Oryzias latipes: one gene and its partner. The protein of the gene in region 2 interacts with the protein of the main gene of each other region in a pairwise test. Links are inferred from orthologs where the notes say so. Each region holds a gene or a part of one and is shown on either strand. Other genes may lie near its edges.

Evidence for each region.
Region 1: the proteins of ppp1r12a (region 2) and atxn10 interact in binary tests that used the Homo sapiens proteins (3 or more experiments, as listed by UniProt). The link is inferred for Oryzias latipes from reciprocal best matches to the Homo sapiens genes PPP1R12A and ATXN10.

The regions. Positions count from the first base shown.
Region 1 is NC_019881.2:6,817,971-6,821,842, reverse strand, and holds part of atxn10 (ataxin-10), read left to right. Parts: intron 1-1,976; coding exon 1,977-2,141; intron 2,142-3,872. UniProt on the Homo sapiens protein: May play a role in the regulation of cytokinesis. May play a role in signaling by stimulating protein glycosylation. Induces neuritogenesis by activating the Ras-MAP kinase pathway and is necessary for the survival of cerebellar neurons.
Region 2 is NC_019881.2:19,251,568-19,255,895, reverse strand, and holds the start of ppp1r12a (protein phosphatase 1 regulatory subunit 12A), read right to left. Parts: upstream 2,877-4,328; 5' UTR 2,766-2,876; coding exon 2,529-2,765; intron 1-2,528. UniProt on the Homo sapiens protein: Key regulator of protein phosphatase 1C (PPP1C). Mediates binding to myosin. As part of the PPP1C complex, involved in dephosphorylation of PLK1. Capable of inhibiting HIF1AN-dependent suppression of HIF1A activity.

The DNA.
Region 1 (3,872 bases), about 12 Mb from region 2:
AAATACTGACACCAACTAAACCACAGGCAGACAAAGAATACATCTATGGAAAATAAAGACGTCATCAAAATTTCTACAATAGTTAATAAAGAATGACATTATTAACATGAGCTGAGTCATCTAAAGCAGTGTTTTTCAACCAGTGTGCCGCGGCACACTAGTGTGCCGTGGGAGATGGTCAAGTGTGCCGTGGAAAATTGCCCTCATTAACTGATCTAAAAACATTTCCCATCTCCAGGAAATCAGGTCTTTGTTCATCCAAACAGGTCCTGATAAAACACTGAGTAGTTAGGAATATAAACGATCATAAAATACTTTTTTCGTTGTGTTTATTTGATTCTATTAAAGACATTTTGATAAGAATGACGGTAACGCGAAATAGCTGCAGCTATAACTGTGTAAGGAAAAGTCCCGCAGCTTTTACTGTCTCCACGACTCCACCAATCATTCTTGAAGGCTTAATCACATGTCATCAGTCTGACCAATCAGAAGTGGTTAAAGTCTCCACTTCCTTGTTCCAAATTAGCTCATAACTCAGTCAGTTCCGACAAAAACACCAGCTAAAGCTCGTCTTTAGCGGTGGAGCTTTCCACAGAATCTGGTATCAGACCGTGGAACAAGTGAACAAAACCATGAAGCTCAGAGACGCGAGTCTTTCTGCCGTTTTCTCGCAGTTTTCACACTACATCTCCCATGATGCATTGGCTTAAAGGGACAGCGTCTTGAAAACACAACGAACATACAGTTTGTATGTAACTTAACTTTTATTACATCTTTTAGAAAAACATCTGCAACTTCCTGCTTTTTCTGCCACAATTATCACAAAAATGCACGTCAGATTGCCGGGGGGGGCTGTAGATCAAAACAGACTATGAGTTTCTGCTTTTTTTTTTTTTTTTGGGATGCTGGTGTGCCGCGGGATTTTTGTCAAGGTTAAAGTGTGCCGTGGCTCAAAGAAGGTTGAAAAACACTGATCTAAAGGCACGTGATGATCCTGGTGTTGCGCAATCTAGCGCTCCGCGTGCCCCCTTCCACCTTGCAGCCTGAGCCCCCTTCCCCTCCGCTTTCATTCTCACACACGCAGCCGTGTGTGACGGGAGACAGGAGCAGCTGCAGGGATGGCAGTTCACAGTTTCAGGCTGTTACAAACACTGATATAACAGACAATAGTAAACCAACAGTGGCGCAAATGTTTTTAAAGCACTGAGCCACTGTCACCACCGCGCCCTGTTAAATTTACGCCCCGGGCAATTGCCCGTATTACCTGTGCCTAAAACCGCTACTACTGCGCGCCCCCCATGGCATCGCATCGGGGTGCGCCCCACTATTTGAGAACCACTGAATTAAGGTAAAAGACCCACTTTGAATTCCTTTGCAAATACCTACAAAAATCCTAATTCTTTTAAGTTCTCTTTTATTTTTAAAGTTTCCTCAAATGTTTTTGAAGTGTAGAAACAAGAAATTTAGGGAAATTGTCACAAATAAACAATTGAAAGAAAAAAAACGTTCATATATTCAATTTTATAATCTATTATCACTTTTTTGTGAGCTTGATTAGTTTGGACTTTTAGAGACTTTCTGTTTTTATTTTGACAGAGTTCTAGGTTAAAGTCACACTCCAATCATCTTTTGACCTATTGTACAAGCGTTGCCAGTTGTCCTGTAGTTATCCAAAAATCTGTGTCGTTTTCTTGGACATAGTTTCTGTAGGGCGGCAGTCGTTCACTGTTGTCATGATTGTCGGCGTGAGCATCCCCACCCCCCTTCCCCTCCCTGTTGCTGAGAGATCGGAGCAGGGAGCCTCAGCGTATGTTCAACATCACAAATGAGCTCTTGTTAAACTGCATCGTCAGGAAAAATATCTCAAAGACATTTTAAAATCACCAAAGACACCATTTTCATTGGTGTGGGTCTTTAAGGAGTGTTTGATTAAATGTCATCTTCACATCTTGTCCACTTCCTACCTTGTGGTTCAGGCAGCTGCTCAGTGTCGCCGATGACAAAGTGGTGAACTACACCTCAATGGTTCTTCACACATGTCTGGATGAGGCTAAAGTGGAAGATTTGTCAAAGCCACAGAACATCGCGCTGGCCCTGAAGGTGATGGAGGTCTGCAGAACCCATCCTGATGTGGACTGGACGTAAGTTCACACTTCCATTTAAAGTTTCTTTTCTCCTTTTAGTCAAACCCCCCCACCCCCACCCCCATATACACACACAATCTGCACATCATTTGGGTTCAGTTTCACAGCAGAAACCGGTCTAGATCCAACCCTCTGCACTTCCCAGACATGAAACTTACTGTAGGAGCCAAAATGTAGTTTCTTTTTTTTTTTTGTTTTTCTTGTTTACTTTGAAGTTTGGAATATTGCAGACATTTTGTTAAAGTTACATCTGGGAGAAATGTTTGAGGGCACACCTGTACTCTAACTTCGAAACTAAAAGAAACATACAGGATTAAAAAGTGAAACTTACTCACAATAATCAAGAGAGTTGAATAATTTTTGATGTAACTACACCCCCCCCCCATTTTGCATCATTTAGTGTATTTCACATTTTTCCAACACAACTTTTTAACTTATTTATCTAAAAGAAAAATTTGTCATGATATCGGTGCTTGTTGTTTTTCTGACAAATGTCGTCTTTTAAACTTAAGGAGCAATTTTTTTATGTTGCTGTTTTGTCTTTTTTTTGTTAGTTTCTAAATCTTAAGAACACTTTATATACACAGTGGGGCAAAAAAGTATTTAGTCAGCCACCAATTGTGCAAGTTCTTCCACTTAGCGATGAGAGGTGCCTGTACTTTTCATCATAGGTAAACCTCAACTATGAGACAAAATGAGAAGAAAAAAACAGAAAATCATATTGTCTGATTTTTAAAGAATTTATTTGCCAATTATGGTGGAAAATAAGTACTTGGTCAATAACTAAATTCTTTGTTATAAGCCCTTTGTTTGCAATGACAGCAGTCAAGCGTTTTGTGTAAGTCTTCTTAAGATTTTCACAAACTGTTGCTGGTATTTTTGCCCATTCCTCCATACAGATCTCCTCTAGAGCAGTGATATCTTGGGGCTGTCGCTAGGCAACACAGACTTTCAACTCCCTCCAAAGATTTTCTATGGGGTTGAGATCTGGAGTCTGGCTAGAGCACACCAGGACCTTGAAATGCTTCTTATGAAGCCAATCCATGTTACCCGGGCAGTGTGTTTGGGATTGTTGTCATGCTGAAAGACCCAGCCACGTTTCATCTTTAATGCCCCTGCCGATGGAAGGTTTTCACTCTAAATCTGATAATACATGGCCTCATTCATTCTTTCCTTTAATTCAATTCAATTAAATTTTATTTGTATAGCCCAAATTCACAACAACAGTCGTCTCCATGGGATTTGTATCGGTAATTGAAAAAGTAAAACATAAAATCAAAAGGATAATGAATACATAGAATTTAATAGGAAAATACTAAATTGAACTAACTAAACAGACTAAACTAAACTGGCATCCCTGCCCTTAGACCAGGGGTGTCCAAATCCAGGCCTCAAGGGCCGGCAAACTGCAACTGGCAACCGGTTTTCCAGAAACCCTGCCTCATCTGCTTGTTTAAGAGAACGTGTGTTTCAGCGTTAAACCACTGCGCAACCTGCTTTGTCTAACGAACTTAAGTTTCAGGGGGGCAACAACATCGAGTGTAATCTTAAGGGCATGTAAGGCATCATTAACAAACAGGTCATTTATACTAGGACTGATGCTGTGGGAGCTGGACTCAGAGTATTTGCTCAGAATGTCACTAAGTACTGGTTGAACTGTGAGTTTAAAAACAGAACAGTCAGATAAGGTTCTTCTAAGTGTTTTCTTATTCACTGGGGCAGTAGCAT
Region 2 (4,328 bases):
AATAGATCCACGTCCGTCTTTGTTTTACTCGTCTGAGCAGGAACATGGCTCTAAACTGTACAGCTAGATAGCTTGCTTGCCATTTTTCTGGTACCGGTAATGTTAGATTGACGGTGTTAGGGGTTGTAACCTAGCAGGAGAGTGCATAAACAGAGAGCTCTCAGCAACGGTCAACAACAAATCGCAGAGGCCAATTTCTAATGAACTACTGCCGCTCTGTAGAAATTACGTCCTAGAGAACGACAGGATTTTGGCTAAATATAACTGAAAACCCAGTGGGAATGTTTTTAGAATAGATTAAAAGAGGATCGGAATGGGTCTTTAGGCAAGTATGCCCAAGATCTCAGATGCACAGCATCCTTTTTGTTAGTGTTCAGCCTGGGAACGGCTCAAACCGTTGGCTTTTAACGCCAGGGCAGCAGCTTGGAAGCATGTTTACAGGCCTTTCAGCAACACAACATTTTTTAAGTTTGGATTTGTCTGCGATTTACAAACAAAGTCAACCTCTGGCCTGAATGATATCAGAGCTTCAGCACAAAGCACAGCTTCAGACTGTGAGTCATATCCAAACTTAGTATCATCTCCTGAAACCCAGTTAGGAGAACTTGGGACAGGTTATTTATAACCACGCACCAGTCACTAGCAATGGGAGGGTCACCACTGCACCATGCAGAGAACCATCACGACAGAATAAGACAAAAGCCAGTATCTCATGTCCATTTCTGTAGATTTTAATGGGTATAACGTTAGAAATCATAATGTCTCAGACATCTGTTAACCAACCTGGACTGCAAAAGAACAGATAATCTTTAAATCCCACATTATTATTGCTTAACTGCTCAGAGATCACATGCTGGCATATAACACCCACTTCTCACTGCTAGAAATACACAGATTTAAAGCAGCTTGCCCCCATATTTGCTCTATTGAAGTTATAAACCAATAACTCACTACAGACTTCAAAAAATAAAACAATGTCCACCTAGCAGCATCGATGACATCAGATAGAAAAGGGGACTGGAGGTAAAGCCAGGTTTTGGCAATCTTCTACCATATGGACAATGCTGACAGAAAGAACAGAAAAAGAGCAGCTATCTATGACCAGACATGTGAATGTGAGCAATGTGATGACATGGCTGATGACCAAGCATTAAACAATTAATGTGAGCTCAGACTGTCCCTAATGTTAGAACAAACAAACAAAATGTAGACAGCCAAACTTACGAAAATAAAAGCACACAAACAAAATAACCCCTTTTTCTCTGTTTAAAAAAAAAAAACAGATCATGGAGTGTCGTTATAGTAGATCATGGGCATCTTTACTAAGAAAAAAAAAAGAGTTTATACTTAGCTTATTATGTTATGAGTGGCACAAATAAGCTTAATAGCTGTTCTGAGAACACGCTTTTTTCCTTAGTACAATTAAGTGATGACTGGGTAAAATAAAAAAATAAAAACTATCGTCGGTTAAAAGGTTGAATTTAAATCTGTCATTTGTTTGGGGCTTACCAACACATCGATCCGACCGCTTAAGTCTCTAACAAAGTCTGGTGATCCAGTAAGCACCAAAGCTACGGAGCGAAGCTACGGTAGTTAGCGGGCACATAGCTCAGCTCGGTACGGCTGACTTTCCGGTTTAGCCAACAAACCAAACACCAGTATTTGGTAGTATTTGTTTAAAAAAACAAGTCATTAAAAGTCCTATTTCAGAGAACAAAAAACAATTCGTGTAAATGAATGAATTAAGCGACGATGAAGTCCAACAGCTAACAAGTTATCTTAGCATGCTAGCAGCCTTAAGCTAACCCTAAATACAAGTTTAATAGCATTTTCTTTAGCTCGATTTTGGACTAACCTTTGAGCAAAACTTGACTTTAACTAATTTGGGATTATTTCAAAAGAACAATTTAAGGAAAAAAAGGTTGTCGCGCTGTCCTAAAAGGCTAGCCACATTTGTGATTTGGGGTTATCAACAAAACTACTTTTACTGCTAACCAGGTGAGGTAGTACTAGCAGCCGTCCACTGCCATAAAACCAAGAATCCCAAACAGGGATGCGTCTATCAATGGAAACGTTTGTAACTAAAGTCGATACTTTATGACATAAATTTAATTTATGTTACTTAACTTCACCAGACAAGAAATTAAACACTGACGTTTCATTTAAATGGGCTTTTCATGTAGCAATTTTAACATGATGTACTGTAATTAGACTACACCCAGAGCAGGGAATACACAGACCCGCTTTAGAGGTAAAAGAGGGATTCATTGGAGGGAAACTTGGCCAAAAATCGTCAGGTGTGTTCGCTAAGGTGTGTGAAAGCTGTTTGTGGGGTATCCCCCGCGCAAGCTTCTTGTTCCCTGGTGCGTCGAATCGAAAGGAAGAGGGCTCGGTAGGTAAACAACGGGATGAGAATGGCTTCCACTTGACAGGTGTTCCAGGGAAAGCAGTTGCATGCTGTAAAGCCCTGTTTGAGAGCGGCAGGGGCTGCAGGCTGGTTTTAACGGAGACAGCAGGTGAGCACTGACCTGGTGGAGCGCTGTGAGGCCGTCCACATTGGCATAGTTGATGTCAGCACCCCGGTCCAGCATACGGAGCACCTCCTCTGTATCGCCGCTTGAGCAGGCGGCCAGAAACACGGCGCCATCATCGAACTTCACCTTCGTCTTCTTCTTTTTGAAAACAGGAGGCTCCTGGTCCGTTTCCGAGCCCATCCATCGCTTTAGCTGTTCATTCCTTTTCTGCTTGGCGTCCGCCATCTTCATCCCCCTCCTGTCTCGGGCTTCTTATCTTTCTCCGAGAGAGGATATACTTTATAGTGCCACTATCCCACGGGCGCACTGGGGCGTGGGAAGGGAGGGCTGAGGAGGAGGAGGAACTGAGCGAAAGAAGTCTGAATTGTTTGACAAAATCTCGCGAGAACTAAAATCCAGGCTCTGCAGTATACGTCACCATCAGCAGATATGAGGAAAGTGGAGGAAATGTACGGTAGCCCCTAGGAACAAAATTAGCAATGAAGAATTTTTAAATGCATCACTGCTAAATAAAAATAAAAGAAAAAATTGAAATGTTAGAGACATTAAAACAACAAATGAAATGATCAAACCGCAAAACTTCACAAAAAAAGAATAAAATTTAACCTAAATATTTTTCCCCCAAAAATGAAGGGGGGGGGGGGGGGGAATTTGACTAATTAGCCAACTATAAATGAACAAAATAAAAGCAACATCTTTAAAGCTTACAGGTCTAAGGGTCATTTACCAGGCAGTCTGTTGGGGGTTCAACTCTCAGGTTTCATTAAATAAGTTTCTTGCTTTCTTTTAGTAGCACCTTACTTCTTTCTGAATGGATTTTAAAATATGTTATACCGGGTTTTTATAGTGGTGTATTTTATTATGAAAAGTAACGGCACGTCATAGTCATTGTGTAAAGGTAACCTATACAAAAAGGTGTTTATTGGTAGGCTAAATGCAGCCAAATTCTAAAATGTATGATAATGTTTACAAATAGACTTGAAGAAAAGGTTTTTTATTGAACCGAAAATGTTTTAAACCACAAACCATTGCCTTTTTAGTTTTAAACAAACAAACAAAACAAAACAAAAATATGTATATATACTGTATATATGTATTTTTTTTACCTACATGGGTACCAACACGGAAAAAAATACTTGTTATATTGGCTAAAACACATCGTGATCTGTTTGTTTCATTGTAAAGACTGAGTTGCATATCTCTCCATTAGACATCTTGTTTTTTCGCACTTCTATTATTATCAAAGTCTTTCAAATGGGAGGGGACTTGTTTCCTGTTCTTTTCATTTTAGGAAGCAAAGGGATTTTTTTCCTGCAAACTAAACAAACTTTAACTGTACAGGTATTTCCCCTTTTGATCCCTTTGTTCCATGCATGGGTGCATCCAAAAATCTCTCCTCCATCTTTGTCATATGCAAGGTTATTTTTGAGTCTAAAAGAAAACACGACGCTCAAAGAGTAAAAATAAAACCAGTTTCACCTGCAGTGATTAGATGGATAGCACTTGGTGAGCTTGGAATGTAGACTCAAGCACAAAGGAGGTCCACATCGACCTGTATTAAAAACAGTTTCCCTTTTTATTTTATTTTTTTCCACTAAATTGTTGGCAGGGGAGTGTGCATATTCAGTAGGAAGTGTGCTATTAGTTTGTTGCATGCAAGTCACAGGGATAAAATGTGCATTCAGTGCTGTTTTCTTCAGCACAGAACTGTCATCACACATGAAAACGTGCCCGAAAATTGTAAATGCCTGATGCAACCAACCCACCGACGTCCAGAAAAACGACTCCAGCGAG